3 linked regions of the Caenorhabditis elegans genome follow. The protein of the gene in region 1 purifies or fractionates together with the protein of each later gene. This does not show direct contact. Each region holds a gene or a part of one and is shown in the gene's direction. Other genes may lie near its edges.

Region 1 (6,728 bases):
CTTCTAATAAAAATGGTCCTAGTATTCAGAAGTGTTAAATGTGTTCATAAGTCGTTGCTCATCTGATGCTCCTTTCTTTGGTGTTTTTGCTGGAGCTGGAGTTGGAGCTTTTTGAATAACCATTTGAGAATCGTTCGGAACGTGACTAGGATGAGGGCTTGCCTGAATTCAAATATAGGAACTTCATTTGATACTACAGTGACCCACCTGTTTCAAGTTAATCGGAGTCGATGGCGTTGTCGTCGAGAGTTGACTATGTGAAGACATTGAAGTCAAAGACATTGTACCTTCCAATACTGATATACTTGATGTAGTTCTTCTGGTTCTGACCAAGAATTCATCAGATCTTTTATTTGATACCTCTTTCTTTGTCTTCTTTGATTTTTCAATAACACACGAGAAACGTTGTTTCGGGGGAAATGGATTGTGGTAGAGAATGTGCTGGAAATTAGAATTTAGAGATACGTGCATGAATTGGAAGCTAATCTGTAGACTATTATTCATTCTCAATATTATTTTTTACAAAAGATATTCACATCAAAGTAGCACGTTGCTTAAGTATTCAGAAGAATTGACTTCCAGGAGGCACGGGTATTTTATTTTAGAAAGGAGCGACTTTATTATGAGCCACCAATAGAAAAGCATGGCACATCTTTAAGATATAAAGTTCTCGCAATTTCTGGTCTATCAGCTGGGGAACTATATGAGTATGTACACATGTAAGATATCTCGCACCGAACCTATTTACTGTACTCACATAAAATTCCAAACTGACTACACCGTGCAGGTATAATCTAGATGACCTTTTTTGCCAATTTTAATTATTAGACATACGATAATTATTACAAAATTGTTTTCTTTGATCTTTGTTCTTTGAATCTTGAAAAGATCGAAGTACCTCCATATAAAATCGTTTTGCTTTTTCACAAGCATTACGAAGCGATTTCCGATTATCAGCCGAATTGAACGCAGCTTCAAAATATTTTGAATCGACTAATTCTGTAGCAGTTCGACGAGAAACTTCACTGATTGCAAATGAAACAAAATTCCTTCCATTTTCCGATTGGCAACATGTTACAGTCATTCTTTGAGGATCACAAGATGCATCAGCAAGATAATTGTTCACACAATTATACGACATCTGAACAAGAATCCATTTGATTTTTGAATTTTCAGTTTGCAAAATAAACGTTTCAAAATCCGTCTAACTCACAGTGAAAGAAGTAGGATCTTCAATTTTTCGAGTTGCCACAGCTCCATTTTTTGTAAAAATCACTTTTTGTGAATTAGTCTTCATACAAGTTGGCATTTTTAGAAATCGTAAGTACAGAAATAAATTTTTAAAAAACGAACCAGAAGCGGTTGAGCAAAACGTGAAAATTTAAATAGGATAATTTAATATTTTTCAAATTTTTGGTAAATTGCCAAATTTTCCAAAAAAAAAAACGCAATTGAAGTATAAAGCTCGTAGAAAATATGTTTTTGTCAATTTCCTAAAATATGTCCTAAAATATCCTAAAACTAAATAAATCTAAATTTTTCAGCAGCTTCAGTAGAGACTGCAACATCTAATGAGATCTTCGTTGGTGACTACAATGCTCATAATCAGTTCAATCCAAGTTTTTTTAAAACTTAAGCAGGAGCTGAGGCAACAAAAACAGTTGTGTAAAAGTCATGAATATTTAGGTTGTCGGGGGGTTCAATCCATAACTAACTTACCATGTTTTGATATACTTCCTTTCCCCTCAAACTACACGAATGTATTTTATGATAGTTTTTGTAGTGTAATAACTTCTAATAACTTGTCTAATAACTTGTATCTTACTTGTTTCTGCTTTTATTATTAATACATTATAATAAATTCAAAAACAAATTTGTTCAACTTTTAAGTAGGGAAAAATTGAATAATTACCAAATTGAATAGACACACTAGTTGTCAATAGATTAGTAGGTCTGGAACAAATTGGTAAACTGTACATATAGTAAACCATATATAATAAATATATTTACTAACCAGCTCATGAATGTAATTTTAATTCAATGTTTAAAATTAATAAAACTTATCTAAATTGTTTTCATGCCCGTTTTTTAGTATACTCACTTACTACAACTCTTATCTTATCTACTACAATAACCTACAACTTAACTCTTATTTGTCTCCATTTTCCCGCTCCTCTGTCTCGATATGTTCCGTTTTCTCCAAAACTGCAAAATTGTATGTTTGTCAGTGTCTCCACCATTACACCACCGTCTCAACCCTGCAAGACCGGTGCATACACGCTCCGTCGACGGCCACGCGGTTGGTTATTGCCTGCGTAGCGACCCACACACAGTGATGGGATACCGAGTTCAACCGTATTTACGTAAGACCTTCGCAACTGTTTAGGCAACTTTTGAAAGTCTTTTTTTGAAAAGTTTCAGACTGTTTTCTTGTGATTTTCAAGACAAAACTGTGTAAGTATTAGGGAATGCTTGGTTTTTGTCTTAGATATAGTATCTACCTACAATATGCTAAGTTGATATGATAAATTATTGATTGATGATGTTTTTTCTATTTGTCATCATTTTTAGGTTATTATGGTTTAAATCAATTTAGATACATTCAATTTGCTGACTTTTTTGAAATGGCTGTAAAAACTAGTAGATTTATCAAATTGGATCTAGGTCCCCATTTCTTAAGGACTATGTATTTGACGCTTTACTATATTTTTTCTGGTTTTTATTTATTCTTAAATATTGTTATCATTTAAAAAATTAACTTGTGCGTTGTAGGGTACCAATATGTCTGACGATCATCACGACGACGAGCACTTCCACACCGGAGACTCTGGAGCTGCTGCCACATTCCCAAAGCAGTGCTCTGCTCTCCGTAAGAACGAGCATGTCATGATCAAGGGACGCCCATGCAAGGTTCGCTTTGTTTTAAAATGTTGAAAAATTAAATAAACTTAGAAGATGTTTTGTGAAAAAGTGCGATGAATGACTTGGATAAGTTTCGGCTGAAACTTGGTGATGCCAACTTTTTAAAACTGCTGAGCACTTTTTCTCAAACAAAAACCCAATAAATATGAAAGAACTATATATATAGTTATATAAACTATTCACTCATAGTTTTTTACAAAAACTGAAAGCTTACCAAATTGATAATTAATTCCAAAACAAAAAACTCCTGAAATTATTTAGCTCACAAAATACCCAGATAAGATGATATGATTTAATCCTAAAAACTGTTAGTCTAAACATTAGATAGGCCAGATATTTATATTCTCAGAGGCGAGTGAAGAGGCGGATCAGAGACACCCCGCCATGCTTTTACCGGAAGGAAATTCTAAGACAGTTAATTTGAATTTTAGTTCTAATTTAAATATTAACATTTTAAAATTGCAAAAAATATTTGAGGAATAAAAAAAAAGTATACATACAATCGTAGCACCATGCTTCTAGAATGTGGACAAATCAACTTTGCGTAACCATAAAAGTTATCTGAAAGTTGTAGATCGTCGAAATGTCGACCTCCAAGACCGGAAAGCACGGTCACGCTAAGGTCCACATGGTCGCCATCGACATCTTCACCAGCAAGAAGCTTGAAGATATCTGTCCATCCACCCACAACATGGATGTTCCAGTCGTCAAGCGTCGTGAGTACTTGGTAGGTTTTCCAAAATTTCATATTGCTAAACTATCACTAAATTTTTATTCAATTTTCAATATGCTTGTTCTTTCAGTTGATGGCCATCGATGACGGATATTGCTCCCTCATGGACCCAGAGTCCTGCGAGCAAAAGGATGACCTCAAGCTTCCCGATACTGAGCTCGGACAACAGATCCGTGATGCTTATGAGAAGGACGAGGGATCCGTTTTGGTCCAAGTTGTCTCTGCTATCGGAGAAGAGGCTATCCTCGGATGGAAGGTCAGCACCAAGGAATAAATCGTCAAAGGAACCCCCTGCCAACTGCTCATGAATCCTGATTCCCCCGTTCCACCCCGCAAAACTTTCACTGTATGAATGGTGCTGCTTGACATTCCATTCCAGAATTCAAGTATAACCCATCATCAAGTGCTCGTGTTATTTTTCTTGTTTTCATTAACTTTTTTTTTTGCTTTTTTTCAAAACATAACTGAGAATTTAATTTCAAATAAATTATCAGAAAATTTTGGTTTCCATTTTATTTAAAAACTATCAATCCACCTCCATGAATTCACTCGTTTTTTCTTTTGCCTTCTTGTTCCATCATCATCCGTAGGTAATTTGTTTCTGTTCCATCATCTCACACACTCTCTCTTATACACGCACAACAATTGACTAAATTTGATTTATAAATGAAGTTGCACGGAGAGTTGCTTTTCGATTCACTTTCATTTGATTCTGAATCTAGGAATAGTTGAAGAGAAAAGAAGCGATTTCATTTCCGGTACTGGGAGATATCTGACCAGAATCTTAGTCAGATGCTTCTTTTGTTTTTCGATTGACTAGGAAATATGTTACTAAAGAATAATTCCTAGAGTTTTTAAGTTTTTCAGTTCTAAACGCTTTCCTATAAACGCAATCCTGGAAATGTTTAATGACTCGTAAAGCAACCGTTTTTGACAAGAGACACCTGTGATTTATACGTTTTTCAAGCTTCATCAAAATAGTGCCTAGAATTTCCATTCGTTCTTTCAACTTTCAGTCTGAAAAGAAACATATCGATGTATCTTGTTAGGTTATTTTGGCTCACTTTTATAAAAATATCTTCACTTACTGGAACGGTCATATTGTTTTTTTGCGTACTTATACCTTTCTCTGCTTGACTTCAAAACTTAATTTTAACAAAAACAAGAGGCGTGGAAAACTTTAAAAGCTTCTTGGTAACAACTCGACCTTTCTAATGGGATTTTAAAGTCTAGACACGTGTTTACCAATTATCAGCATACTTGTTGTATTGTCTATTTTAGTTTATAAATTAGTTCAAGAATAAGGTTCAATGTTTTTGAAATTGACGCTGTTTTCATTTTTGATTTGACAGCTTTCAAGGGCACGTTACCAGCTTTTCCAAACCGAGCTGTAGAAATCTGCCAATGGTGCACTAAAAAACTTTCTACAAGTATCGTGCTGAATTTCTTAACTTCTGTAACTGAAACCTCGTTTGTATGAACAAAAACTTAGTTAAGACCGTGTAATAGTTCAAATTGAGTTTGCATTGTTGATTCGCATCAGAAATTTAAAACAAGCATATCAGGCATTGAATATAATTTGCAAATTTCAGAATCGCCGCTCAAAATATCTGAAAAAAGAATATGACGGATCAAAGAATAAATAAAGAGAAAATGGGCGTGGCTGAGCCGTCTCATATTCACTCATTTCCCGACGGACCGCCCGTTCCTTTTTCTCTTCAACAAAATTGTCCTCGTTCGTTTCGTCTTCCACCCGTCAAAAATAGAATAACAACCACTATCGCCGTGTCGTCACTTTTCAATTTTTTAGTCGTTAGTAGTTTTAAAAAATGACATGTAAAAGCTTTCTTTGACATGGTTTTAGATATATGTTTCTCTTTTTATGTTTTCAATTTTGAATTTTCGCTTGAATGATTTTCTTCTTTTTGTTTCAAATTGAACACGAATCTGCTTTTTTTGAGGTGGACACCAGACGCGAGAAATCGAATACTACTTGAAAAAATATAAATTTCTTTTGGTTTCTTATTCATCACCTAGTTTTTAAATGAGTTGTTTTTTTGTATTTGAAAACAATAACACATAAATTATTAGCTTTGTTAAAGAAACGTTCAATCCGGTTAATTTTCCCGTGTTTTCTAGAGATTTAGATTTTTGCATACATATGATAAATTCACAATATTTGTTCAATCGAAAATGTCTTAAACCAAATATTGTTTAAAAAATTCAAATTAATTTGGTACTTGAGAAAGCTAATAAATTAAATAAGTGTAGGCTTAAAACATACCTGTTAAAAGTAGGTAAAGATTCTTTGACCTGTAAACCGGATGTTTTATAAAAGTTGAAGAGTTCAACACGTGTATCATTTCCTGTATTCATCCATTTCACTTCCGGTCTAACGGAACTTGCCGAAAATTTGCAAAAATTTAGTTTCTCCGCATGACAGATTTTTTAATGTTCACATCATATTAATTTTGTTATTCTCTATTATTTTGAATTAATTCATGTTTTCTTCTAATTGTAATTCACATAGCTTATTAGTATCTTGATGTTTTTGCCAATAGTTTGACTATACACATTTCCATAGAGCTTTTCTTGTACAGACCATGTTTTTTGTTTTCCAGTATGCTCGATGTTAGTTTCCAAATTCGTAATGCTCGACACATCTGACAATGTAATTTTACGCAAGTAATTTTTGTTAGCGATCAAAGACCGGTCAAGAAAACGATCACTTCAGACAGTTTGCCATACGTGTTGTGCGTTTTGTGTCATAAAAACAAGCAACGGAATAAAAATAGATTAAGTCCAAGAAAGTACAATGCAATGTGTAAAAAAGATTCGACAATGTGGGTGATATTTTTCTTAGAATTTGCGTCCGCGGAGGATTAACGTTCCCCGCCGATTCATTTTCTGGAATATATACATACATAGATATCAAGAACACTTTTCTTCCCGTAGATACAATTTCCAGGAAAGGTCTCGTTAAAATGTTGGGTTTACCGATAATTTGCATCGAATTCATTGCATCGACCATCATTAAAAATTTCAAGAACCGTCTTGCATGTATGATTTGATA
Region 2 (6,557 bases), on another chromosome or scaffold:
TTTTGGCACTTTTTATCGAATTTTTTAATGGTATTTTGCCCGATCTTGGAATGTCTCATTTTTCAGATTTTTTTAAATTTTCCTGAGTTCTTGAATTTTCTGAGTTTCTTTTTTCTTTTTTATTCCCAGCTTAACCCTGAGCCTAAGCCTAAAGCTAAGCCTAAGCCTACGCCTGTGCCTAACTCTAAGCCAAAGCCAAAGCCTGAGCCTGAGCCTGAGCCTAGTTGTAAGCATAAGCCTAAGCCCGGCCCTAGTCCTAAGCCTAAGCCTGGCCCTAGGCCTAAGCCTAAGCCTAAGTCTTTGAGTTCTGAGCCTTCTCCTTAGCATAAGCATACGCCTAAGTTTAAGCCTAAGCCTATACCTAAGCCTAAGCCTGAGCCTGGGCCTAATCCTAAGCCTAAGCCTAAACCTAAACATAGTCCCGTGCTTAAGCCTATTGATAAGCCTAAGCCTAAGCCCAAGGCTAAGAAACTAAAAAACTATTCTACTCACTTCCGTCGACAACTTCAATTATCAAGTCGCCATGCTTCAGATCCTGCTTGTACATATGCTTCACATCTTCTTCAAGTTTCTTAAAACATCCAAAATCTGTGCACAGTTGTTCGAGCATCTCACTTCCCAAGTTTTCCGGCCATTGTTCGTTATAAATGTACGATTTCAAGAATATCTCGACCGCGTCTTGTTCGAATTTCAAAAATTTTTGCTCGCACAAATCAAAGTTTTCCGGGTTCTCATCGTAGTTTGCCGAGATTTTGAGATTTGTACATCTTTGAGAAACGAATGCGCGGTTAGCGCGAATTGAGGTGAATTTGAATAAGATATTCAGATTTCCTGACACGGTTCTCCCGCTCTCGAAGTCTCTGAGGAAAGAATTTGTCGGTTTTCTTGAATTATCACATAGTCGCTGAAACTCGAGTAGCTTCGAATCGGCTTCAAATTCTGCTAGAAGAAGGTTGAGATCTTGAACTGGCCAACTTTTGATGAGTTCCTCGAACGGTCGGATTTGGTCTCGAGTGGAAGATTTTCTCTGCAAAAGATTTGTCGTTTATTATTTAATTTATTTATCCCGACGCCACGCGGTTCTGGCTTAACTTAAAAATTGAAATGGAAGAGTTTGCGCCGAACTAGGCCATTTTGGCTCGTCCATATCTTGGGTAGATTTACGGCGCGTTGCGTGTCGCGTCGCGGCTCGATTTTCGTTGTGTGGAGTACACAACACTTTTCCACGCGTTGTCCGGCGGACGATTGTCAATGGAGCGCAAAAAATTAAATGAGGAAAGCCAGTACTCCTGGTGACGCGGAAGTTGGACGGTCTCGACACGACAAATATTTTGCCAAATGCGATAATGTGTGCGCCTTTAACTAGTACTGTAACTTCAAACTATACATTATGGGAACGAAACAACATATTTGACGCGCAAAATATCTCGTAGCGAAAACTACAGTAATCCTTTAAATGACTACTCTAGCGCTTGTGTCGATTTACGGGATCTCGATTTTTGAAATGAATTTCGAAATTAAGCAAAAAATTGGAAAATAATTTCGCTGTCACTAGAAGAAATTAATTTCAAACATCGCTCCCGTAAATCGACACAAGTCATTACTGTAATTTTCGCTACGAGACCACGAAATTCTAAAAATGCGCATTACACAATATATATTTGACGCGCAAAATATCTCGTAGCGAAAACTACAGTTTTAAAAATTAAAAACGATTTTTTTTCAACTTCAATGATTTTTTTTTGTCATTTTTGTGTTTTTTTTTAATATTTTATCGATTAATTAATGATTTCTGTAAATCGACACCAGCGCTACACAATCCATTTAAAGAATTACTGTAGTTTTCGCTGCGAGATATTTTGCGCGTCAAATATGTTGCACAATACGCATTCTCATAATTTTGTGTTCCCGTAATATATAATTGATGGAAAAAAACGAAAGTTTGAAGTTTTTACAGTTGGATTTAAAGGCGCACGCACACACTTAATTTGCATTTAACAAAAGTTTGTCGTGTCGAGACCGGATATCGTATTTTCGGATTTTAAAATCCGTTTTTGATATTTTCAGAGTGCTTAAAACTTACTTTGAACGAAAACTTGAGTCGCGAAGTTGCTCTCAACACATTTCGAGCGCTCCGCAAACCGTTTCTCGGGGAGTTTTGACTGGTAGAAGTGAGACTAAAAGTTTAAAATTTCCATAAATTATTTTTATTTTTTACTACGCACCTTAATCTATCTTGTGCAACTTGTGAAGAATTCACTCCCATATGTAGCTTCTGTGGAAAAAATCTGCAAAATCAATAGATTAATCTGATTATTTCCTAGATTGGAAAGGATCTTCAAATAGTGAAGTTCTTTTTATGCTTTCAGATATTCAGAAAATTAGATAAAATTCGTATTATTTATATATTTATATTATATATTATTTATATATTTATAGGTATGTATTTTCGATCAAATAAATTCAATAAAAACATGTTTTTATTTCAATAATGCATGTGCGCCCCATCGCACGCGTTGCGCCGCAGCCGCTCCGCAGTCACGGGGTATTCATCTCTCTGCCTCGCCACGTCATTTCTCCCGATTCCACAGCTTTTCCTGGCTAATTTTATCCATTTTTCGACTTTTTAAAAGCTTCCAGACGTTCTTTATTGTGTTTCTGATGTTAATATCTGCCTATTGGCGTGATCAGAGTCGAAATTATGCCGAAAAAGTAATTTTTATCGATAAAAAAGTCTTGCGAAATATTTTCTAGCTTTGGAGTCTGTAAACTGATCCGGTGGAATTTTAGAATTTTTCCTTTCAGGAAAAATTCTTTTACTGATAAAAGAGTCAGGTTTTCTTGCACTGTTCGTCTGGATAAAACCGGTTTTCTCTCGTTGCTTTCTCTTTTGTTTACAAACCGCACCGCGATCAATAAATTATACACGTTGTCTCCTGTTGCTGACCGATTTGTCATATGATTTGTCACCGTTCTCATCTTTACTTTCGCAATCCTTTTTGACACTCATTTTCCTCATTCTCGCATCGATTCCTCATGCTTTATTCAATTCGCAATTTATAATTTTTCAGGGGGTTCCAATTTATCAGATCGACAAAAAGGAGATGGCAGCAATGAACCCTGAATAGTGAGTTTGCGGCAGAAGAATATTCGGTTTCTAACAATTTTTTTCCCAATTTCAGCGACTACCTCTTCAAACTCCTCCTCATCGGAGATTCTGGCGTCGGAAAATCGTGCCTGTTGCTGCGTTTCGCCGATGACACATACACTGAATCATACATCTCCACTATCGGAGTTGACTTTGTAAGTTTTCAGTATTTCCGTCGAAATTATTTATTATGATTTTGTAATTTTCAGAAAATCCGTACTATTGAGCTCGACGGCAAAACTATCAAGCTTCAAATCGTGAGTTTAACCAAATAAAATGGCGAATTCGTTTTAAAACAGTTATTTTTCAGTGGGACACTGCTGGTCAGGAACGTTTCCGCACAATTACATCGAGCTACTACCGCGGAGCTCACGGAATTATCGTTGTCTACGATATCACTGACCAAGTTAGTTTATTTTCCTAAAAAGCTTATAACAATAAATATTATGAGCATTTTTCAGGAGACATTCAACAACGTGAAGCAGTGGCTTCAGGAAATCGATAGGTACGCATGTGAGAACGTCAACAAGCTGTTGGTCGGAAACAAATGCGATTTGACAGCGAAGAGAGCTGTGGAGACTCAAGCTGCCCAGGATTATGCTGGACAACTCGGAATCCCGTTCCTCGAGACATCCGCCAAGTCATCGACGAATGTTGAACAGGTTTGTTGGGCTAAAAATGATTTTTAAAAAAATAAAATCACATTTCAGGCCTTCCTTACCATGGCTTCGGAAATCAAATCACGTATGGGACCAGTTCAAGGAGCCGGAGGTGCTCCAGGTGTGCGTATCACGGGAAGTCAACCGGTTCAAGACAAGAAGAGCGGTGGATGTTGTTAATCGAAACGATAATCTCTGTGATACCCCCCTCTTCGGCACTCTTTCACCATCAAGCTCTTAGTCGTATTTTTTTGTTTCTTTCCACTGAAAATTTTCTAATGCAACCCCTCTTCCTATCACTCTAAATTTTATCTAATGTAATTTTTTTTTGATTTTCACTTCTTTTTCTTCTGCTGTCTTTTCTCTCCCCTTATAAAAAATTCCTTCACCCACCCCCAAATTCACGTCGTAACCTAAATTATTTTCTTTTTTGAATGTGTGTGTCTGTGTGAATGTACATCCCCACGATTTTACGCTTTTTCTCCGCGAAAATAGATAATTTGTGTTGTGAAAAAATATCCTTTCCCCCTATCCACCACCCAAATCACCCCCTTCAAAAAGAGTTTTATATATTTGCTTCCCTCTTTTTTTTGTCTAAGCCCTATCCATAAACTTAAATGTGAATTTTATTGTGCTTCTGTTTTAGTTTTTATTTATCAATTATCTTTAGGCGAACCATTCCCGGAAAAAGTCGAATTTCGATAACAAGTACAACAATTGGAGGATAATTAACGCGATGCCGACCCAGAACATATCGAATATCGGAATTCTACGTGGCACCTCTGGTTCGTCCGAGGATGTGGCGGTGGCGGCATTGGAAGAGAAGTCCTCCTCGAGACAGTCGATAACCATCGCGTCTTCATTCTCGATAACAATCCCGAGACGGCTAGCCAACTTCTGCAATGAAGCATGTATAAGTGTGGTGCAGTCAAAGATCCTTTATACCTTCAGCTCTCGAGCTCCAAGCACGGCGACTTCTCCTGCAGCATTCCAATGCAGCAGTGCCAACGCGTCTTCGGCACTCCCAATAAGTTCACCACTGCCAGATGGTGCACGATTCCACTGCAACAGTGGATCGATTACATTTTCGAAAAGTTCGTCGGAACTTCGTGGAGCTCCGATGTAGAACCACATGTTTCCGGATGCAAAGTCACAGTCCTCGACGGTGGCTCGGATCTCTTGACTTGTCCAGATCTTTGCATCCGTTGAAACGTAGATGCTGTTGTCGTTACCGGCACTCGTCGTCAGAATAGACGTGGCAGGTCTCGATGGATAATGGTCGAACGGTGTGGGATTCCACGAATTTCGAACAATTATGTAGGCCGGCCGGTCGGCGAGAAGAAGCTGAGCAGCCATCGGCAGAAATTCTGTTAGCCATTTTCGTGAGCCGGCAGTTGTTGGATTGACACACGCCTCCATGAGCCACATTGGAGACTGAAACTGAAACTTGTAATAAAAAAAATATTTTTGATCTAAAGTCGAGATTTTTTCTGGGAAAATCAGAAAATCTCGTTTTTTTTCCCCCGATTTTAGCTAAAATTTTAGGTGGTTGCCTTTCAAGTCCTATTATCCAATAGCGAAATGTTGTAATTTTCGACGCAAAAGTACGGTAACCGGTCTCGACACGATTTAAAAAAATTATATTTTATGAAACGATGCATGCGCCTTTAAAAAGTATAGCTATTTCGCAATCAGCTTCGGCTTCTTTAATTTTTTCTTGTTTCTTTTAAAAATTTAAAGTTTTTTTTGTGAAAATTGATAAAATTATAAAGTCATATACTATGGGAACACAAAATTTTGAGAAGTCTGCGTATTGCGTAACATATTTAAAGCTCAAAATATCTCGTGGCGAAAACTACAGTAATTCTTTAAATGGATACTGTAGCGCTGGTGTCGATTTACGGGCTCGTTTTTTTTTTTTTTTTAAATTAAATTTAATTAATACGAAAAAATGAACGAAAATAGAATCGAGCCCGTGAATCGACACCTGCGCTACAGTATCCATTTAAAGAATTACTGTAATTTTCGCTATGAGATATTTTGCGCGTCAAATATGTTGCGAAATACACATTTTCAGAAAAAATTGTATTCAAGTAATACAAAAAACATCTGAAAATAGGAAAAGTGCAAGATTTCGAGACTACTGTACTTTTTAAAGGCGCACACTTCTTTCTAAATTTTCGGTTTTTACCTTTTTGAGTCAAAAATCAAAAAAAAACGCATCTATAGATATATGTGTCGATTTACGCAGCTCGTGTACTCCTCGAGGAGAACATTTTCCAGGCTAATCCCGGGGTTCTGGTCTTCCTCATTGAATTTTTTGCGCTCCATTGAAAATCGCCAGACGGACAACGCGTGGGAAAGTCGTGTACTCCACACGGACAAATATATTTAGTCTTACAACTAAAATCGAGCCGCGACGCGACACGCAACGCGCCGTAAATCTACCCCAGATATGACCGAGCCAAAATGGCCTAGTTCGGCAAACTCTTCCATTTTTATGAAGGAAGCCAGAAATCCGTGCAAACGGAAACAAAAAATATTTAATTTTCTAATTTTTTTGGTTTGCTCCGGAAAACTTTAGAAATTAAACAAATTTGTGCACTCTTGCGGAATATCAATAGCTGGCCGAGTTTCCGATTTTTCTAGGCCCCGTCGCTTTTTTTGTGTGCCAAAATACTCACTTCTTCCCGTTTGTTCCGTGGATCAAAATTTCCATTTGTCTTCTTCTTTTTCTTCGTTAGCTTACT
Region 3 (6,165 bases), on another chromosome or scaffold:
TTTCATAAGTTTCCACAGCGTTGGGAGTATAAAAGCACTCAGACATTGGAAGTACTCTTAGCCCAATTGTCAAGAATCTAACACTAATAACATGAGTTTTTGGGGCCTCAATTATGTAGGTGCAAGTTCCAGCTGCACCTCCATTCGGGAAATTCCAAGTTTGAATTGTTCCATTTCCGTTCACTCGTTTCTCACATACTGAAATAAACCTCTTAAAAGTTCCAATGAAACCAAAAAAGAACTTACACATTTCATATTGAATTCTAAACCCTTTTCCTTGTTCAGCTGAATCTGAGTGGAATGTAAGAACTGCAGCTGGATTATTGACTGTCAAAACATTTGGAGGTCTTCTGGGATTACAAGTCTCTTGAACCAATGTTCCATCTCCGTCGTGAATTTTCAAGAAATCATTAGTGCAAGTTCCCATATCAAAAAGATTTCGGTAAGCGAAAACTCGTGAAAACCCAGGAGCTATTCCATACTCCACTTCATTTCTCGGCAGAAGTCTGCGGAATGAACGATCTGAAACTGAGCGACTTTTCAGGAAATAATATATAAATAAACTCACAATGCATTCCCGGCCCATTGGCACTAAATCCAGACTTGACATCATATTCATCAAACGTCAGTTTCAATACCATATCTCCACTATATGATCCATTGCTAAGTGTTCCATTAATTTTCCATGTGCAATCCATGTTTGGCGGATACAAACTACCGTAGTTGGGTGATTCAATGACACCAGAAAATGAGAAATCATTTGAATCGTTATCGATTTCTGCTCCACATTCCCTATCTGGTGTGGTGAATTTGTATTTTAAAACAAATCCACGGATCGTTTCAAGACCCGCATCACTTTGTAGCATATTACTGATGAATGCAACTGTGAGGAATGGTCCAGTAGTTCTAACGACTTGGGATTCAAGAGTAGATGAACATGTTTCAAGAATACGATGTTTATCATATGTAGCATAACCATCGTATATTTCCAAAGAGTTTTGATCGCATTTTTCAATGTCTTTTGAATGCATTGAAACTGGAGGAATAGTGACTTCGATTATTTTCCCACCGGGAGCCGAAATAAACCATTCACAGACAATGTCTTGGTGGTTTTGTGGGACGGAGATTATTCCTTCTGGTTTTGAGCTACGGTACCCGCATTCTGCAAATAATATACTTCCAATTGAATTATATAAAAATTCCACTAACTTCTTTCAACGGTTTCCCATTTGATAGTAAAAGAACCTTGGGTTCCTCTAAATCTCAGCATTGCTCCTGTTGAAGTCATTGTGATTGGAGTGTCACTCAGCGGTGCGTGAACACTGTGTGAATCTCCACAGAATGTTGCAAACTCAGAAGAACTGTCTTCTGGTCCATCGTATAATGTCAAATTCGCATCAGTTTTGGCACAATCTGTAGGTCCTGATCCTTCTTGCGTAAATTTATCAAATTCTGTGAAAGTCATTACAACTGCAGAGTTTGCAGCAGGAATATTGAAGACGAAATCACATATGGACAGTTCCGTTTTATTCGATCGTTGTAGGTCGAATGTATAATTTCCGCTCGAATGAGTGAAGTGAGAGCCACAGTCTACAAAATGAGTTTTGTTTTTGAGGTTTCAGTCTCTGCTGATGTCTACTTGACAGTGACTGCGCAGTCCCAGAACAACCTTCGGTGGCTAACTGTTACTCTTATTTGTAAGGAGCAGAGAAACCAGTCAAGTTTTGAGCAGGCAGTGGCGGTATCGGTAAGACTTTGGTACAGGCTTTGGATCTAACTTCTGATACTGTAGAATCTTGACTGAAGAGCGTGGCATGGTGAGTCCACTTTTTTAACAACTCTGCCTGTGAAACCTACCAGCAGTTAGATCCAAAATATGTTCAAAAGTCTATACTAAGTTTGCCCAAGGCTAAAGCTGGGCCGCTCCTTGTACAGAAAACAAGCAATAAAAATTTTATTAATGAATTTTCTTACGTTCTTCCTCTTCTTCGCATGCCCTACCAAAGAAGTGCTCTGGACAGTCGCAATAAGCAGAATTTTCAACGGCAATACAAGTTCCTCCATTTTTGCAAGGATTCGTTTGGCACGGTGATGTTTTCTCACAGAACTTTCCAAGAAAACCAGCTTCACATTCACATTTATATTCGGTGTCGCTTGTTGGCTGAAAACTATTTTTTGAGTAACAGTGCTTACTTGTCTTCATTTGTGTTACCTTGCATTTCCCAGCATTAACACAATTGTGGTTCTGGCAAACGTTACTTGCTGACTTAACACATCCTTCCTCTCCAATTCCGTCACCAACATATCCATCTGGACAGTAGCAAGTGTAGTCTCCAACAGCACTGTATCCGTCGTCAGTTACCTTGCATGTTGCTAATTTATGGCATTTGTTTTTGACACAACTATCATCTTTCACACAATTTCCTCCATCGCCGGAGTATCCAGTCGGACACGAATCACAATAATAACTGCCAAGAGTGTTATGACATTTTGAAAGCGGAGAGCATACACGAATTTCACCTTCACATTCGTTGACATCAATACAAACATTTCCATCGGCTGAATTTATTTTACTTTTTGGATTTCAATGACAGATATTCAGTACATTTTTCGACACCTTCAAACTAACAAATTCTGATTTTTCACATTGTTAAGCCGAAGTTTATAAGACTTTCTCTCCTCATTCTCGGAACTGAGAAATCCAAACAAGTATTTTCACAAAAAAAGCTTGAAATTTGTAAGTGTTATACAGGGTAGGCACTTGTTCAGGCGTACGTGTCTACCTCATGCCTACCACACACCTATTGACCTATTTAAATGCCTACTTACCTATTTTATGAAAACGTTTTGGATACGAGTATATATTTTCTAGACAAGAATTAAACCAAAAAAATTATTTTATTTTTGATTTGATTGAACATATATAATTCTAACTTACTTTTATATCCTTTTGGACATCCGGAACACACAAACGATCCAGGCAAATTAATACAATCAACTCCTGGATGACATGGATTTGATTCGCATTCATTGACATCAACACACGTTGGATTGTTCTTATCACTTGAAACCTTGAAACCCCAATCACAAATACACTTGTACGTAGTTGTATCGGAAGATGACTGACCAGTTGGATCCACAATACTCTCAATACAATGCCCATGTGGACCACACAATTCAAAAGTTTTCGAGCAAGCGGACATATGATACTGACAAAGAGATCCATGATATCCGGATTGGCACTGACATTCAAATCCGCCACGGTTATTGATACATGTTCCATTGTTCTGACATCCAGCAGTTGTACCATTGTATACTGAGCATTCATCGATGTCAGCTTCACAAGTTGTACCGGTGAAATGTGGAGGACAAAGACAAGTGAATTTGGCGCCAAAAGATGGGATACATGTGCCTCCATTACTACATTTGTTCGGATCGCACGCGTTTATTGCTATCAATTTGTTGATTCCTCTTGAAAGTTAACAATTTATAAAAAATAGTCAAACCTAACTTGTTGTGTCTTACATGATTTGACGTGTCATTTTCACCAATAATCCCCGTCTCCTCATGTCTCTGGCCATTTTATCAGTTTTCCACTTCTTCAAGATATTCACTTCGAGTGTCATATTTCGAAGCTAAAAATTGATTTCAAAAAGAGAAAAAAATGTATGGAATTACCGCTACTAGATAATGTTTTGCAGAATTTAAAACCACTCTCATTGCAGAAGTCTGCGTGTCCTGGCGACTTTTCAAAGTGGTGAACATTTGAGAAGTGTTCTCAATACGTCCAACAAGTTGCTTGAAAGATGCCTGAAAATTATTTTGAATATTGAAAATTGTAATTCGAGTTAATTTTCAAAAACTTCCATAGTTCAAACATTTTCAAACAATTATTCATTTTGAAAAGTTTTATAAAAATAATAGAACTTAATTATCAAAATTTACGTGACCGTTTCTCAGGAAAGTGATTCTTTTTAAATAGTTGTCAAAAAGTAAATTTTTGCGTGATCTCCGACTATCTAATTCCAACTCTTACTCGTAATCCACGTTTCGTTCCTTTTTCTAATCTGACCGTCTATGTTTTAATCAGTTCTTGAAACATGGGCAAGAAGAAGTCTGATACGGCATCCGGTGGAGCTATTCCAGAAGGAGACAATGAGAAAGGAAAGAAGGTTAGTTAAATTTTTCATTATAGTGTTCCCAGAAAACCTATTGATTTTCAGATCTTCAAACAACGTTGCGAGCAATGTCACGTTGTCAACTCATTGCAAACAAAGACTGGACCAACATTGAACGGAGTGATTGGAAGACAATCCGGACAAGTTGCTGGATTTGACTACTCGGCTGCCAACAAGAATAAAGGAGTTGTATGGGACAGACAAACACTTTTCGACTATTTGGCTGATCCGAAAAAGTACATCCCCGGAACTAAGGTAGGATTTTCTAGGAAGTGCGATGGAGTATTAATAAGAAATTTTCAGATGGTCTTCGCTGGTTTGAAGAAAGCTGACGAACGAGCTGATCTCATCAAATTTATTGAAGTGGAAGCTGCCAAGAAACCATCGGCATAAGCCTCTACTAAATAAGAAATCTGTGTGTTAAGCAAAGCAACGTATCAAAAATAAATGTTTTGTAGAAGCTCGTTCATTTTTTTTTTGGATAATTTCAGCAGTCTACCTACAATATCTGGAAGTTTGGAAACATCTGTTTCGTCCACATATATTCTTCCATTTCCAGTCGTTTTGAACGTTATATTTTTATCCTTTCCGGCATGCAACCACACATTTCCATCAACCATTAGAATACGTGATCTGAAATGTTTTCGGACGTAATTTTGAAAAAAAATTAAAGGATTCGTTACCTTGTTTCATATGAATCTTCGATGTGTATTTCTTCATAGTCAATTGAAGATACATGATTTAATAAGCCGAATAGTATTAATGAAAGAAATAACTGTAAGTTAGGTATCATTTGTTGCGAAAATGAAATGAAATTAATGGAGTTGCACGGTGGAGGGTGAATAATTTGTTTATGTCATTGATACCTGATTGGAAATTGAGACGATCCATTTGTTTATAACAGATTATGTAAGAGAACACCTGCCAATGTTTAGGTTATGAGTAACTAGTGGGCCGTTGAATTTGTGTTCGGTTTTAATGAAAAAACTGTTAAGCTGGCTGAAACTCAGGTATCAAAATATGATGGTGTTGAATACTCTCCAAATAATCGCTCTAAAAAAGTGTCAGGCTGTACAGATATAACAAATGTATCTTATTAATAGTTCAAAAATAATATTTCGTGCAAACTGATTGGTCTGGCATGTGGTAAACAAATAAGCCAGCAGTTGAGATGTAGGCAGGCACGAGGTAGGCACGAAGACAATTCCACTGCTTTAATTGGAAATATTTTCAGGTATTAATCTGCTTTTTCAAAAATATTTTCTTACACAACATTTCGCATAAATTTCGAATCATTTATTGTTTTTTTTTTCAATTATTTTCGTTCGCATAAAGGCAGTGTGAGGAATGAAATCATAATATGAAACAACGATGGGCTGGGCAAGTTCCGTAATACTCTTCTATTTTCTTCCATAAGCATAATAATAGTATGGAGATGTATAATAGTAGTAAGGTGGCTGAGCAGCCACAGCTCCAGTCTGTTGAGTTCCTTGCTGATGATTTTGAGTATTTCCAGATTGATCATATTGAGGCGTGTATTGCTGTTGTTGTTGTGGTTGTTGCTGCATTTGGGATGATTGATCATATTGAACCTGTTGGGTATTTCCTGATTGATCATACTGTACTGGTTGCTGTTGAACTCCTTGTTGGTATTGAAGAGTTTGTTGTTGCTGACCCTGTTGCGTTTGTTGTGGATAATACTGTTGTTGTTGTTGTTGGGTTCCTTGAGCATACTGTTGGTTTTGTTGTGGTTGCTGTTGAGCATAAGCTTGTTGGGAAGCTCCACCAGCCTGAGTTTGCTGAGCAACTCCAGTGGTACCAGCAACTGCAGCGGTTGGATAATAGTAATAGTATGGTGTGTAATAACTTGTTGGATAATACAAGTATTGGGCAGAAGCCACAGCAAGAAGTGAGCAAAGAGCAAGGAGGCTGAAAATTTACGAATGAATGATGCACATCCTACCTAATGATAACATAAATCGTTTGC

The links.
Region 2: the proteins of iff-2 (region 1) and rab-1 fractionate together in Caenorhabditis elegans (co-fractionation; one large-scale study listed by BioGRID). This does not show direct contact.
Region 3: the proteins of iff-2 (region 1) and cyc-2.2 fractionate together in Caenorhabditis elegans (co-fractionation; one large-scale study listed by BioGRID). This does not show direct contact.

What each region holds. Positions count from the first base shown.
Region 1 is NC_003280.10:8,557,009-8,563,736, reverse strand, and holds iff-2 (Eukaryotic translation initiation factor 5A-2), read left to right. Parts: upstream 1-2,772; 5' UTR 2,773-2,781; coding exon 2,782-2,910; intron 2,911-2,964; exon of another isoform or gene 2,965-3,046; intron 3,047-3,496; coding exon 3,497-3,649; intron 3,650-3,725; coding exon 3,726-3,929; 3' UTR 3,930-4,156; downstream 4,157-6,728. Other genes in the region: F54C9.14 (PID domain-containing protein), read right to left, coding at 19-162, 208-441, 899-1,141, 1,214-1,309. UniProt on the Caenorhabditis elegans protein: Translation factor that promotes translation elongation and termination, particularly upon ribosome stalling at specific amino acid sequence contexts.
Region 2 is NC_003283.11:1,260,504-1,267,060, reverse strand, and holds rab-1 (RAB family), read left to right. Parts: upstream 1-3,071; 5' UTR 3,072-3,104; coding exon 3,105-3,127; intron 3,128-3,182; coding exon 3,183-3,303; intron 3,304-3,357; coding exon 3,358-3,405; intron 3,406-3,458; coding exon 3,459-3,554; intron 3,555-3,609; coding exon 3,610-3,810; intron 3,811-3,858; coding exon 3,859-3,987; 3' UTR 3,988-4,444; downstream 4,445-6,557. Other genes in the region: C39F7.5 (BACK domain-containing protein), read right to left, coding at 493-1,027, 2,084-2,177, 2,226-2,266; C39F7.1 (uncharacterized protein), read right to left, coding at 4,474-4,704, 4,753-5,247, 6,492-6,557.
Region 3 is NC_003283.11:12,610,153-12,616,317, reverse strand, and holds cyc-2.2 (putative cytochrome c 2.2), read left to right. Parts: upstream 1-4,099; 5' UTR 4,100-4,100; coding exon 4,101-4,172; intron 4,173-4,223; coding exon 4,224-4,433; intron 4,434-4,481; coding exon 4,482-4,571; 3' UTR 4,572-4,636; downstream 4,637-6,165. Other genes in the region: cubn-1 (Cubilin homolog), read right to left, coding at 1-198, 247-522, 569-1,162, 1,210-1,590, 1,975-2,161, 2,213-2,559, 2,939-3,471, 3,526-3,635 and 3 more; ZC116.1 (Prion-like-(Q/N-rich)-domain-bearing protein), read right to left, coding at 5,579-6,107. UniProt on the Caenorhabditis elegans protein: Electron carrier protein. The oxidized form of the cytochrome c heme group can accept an electron from the heme group of the cytochrome c1 subunit of cytochrome reductase.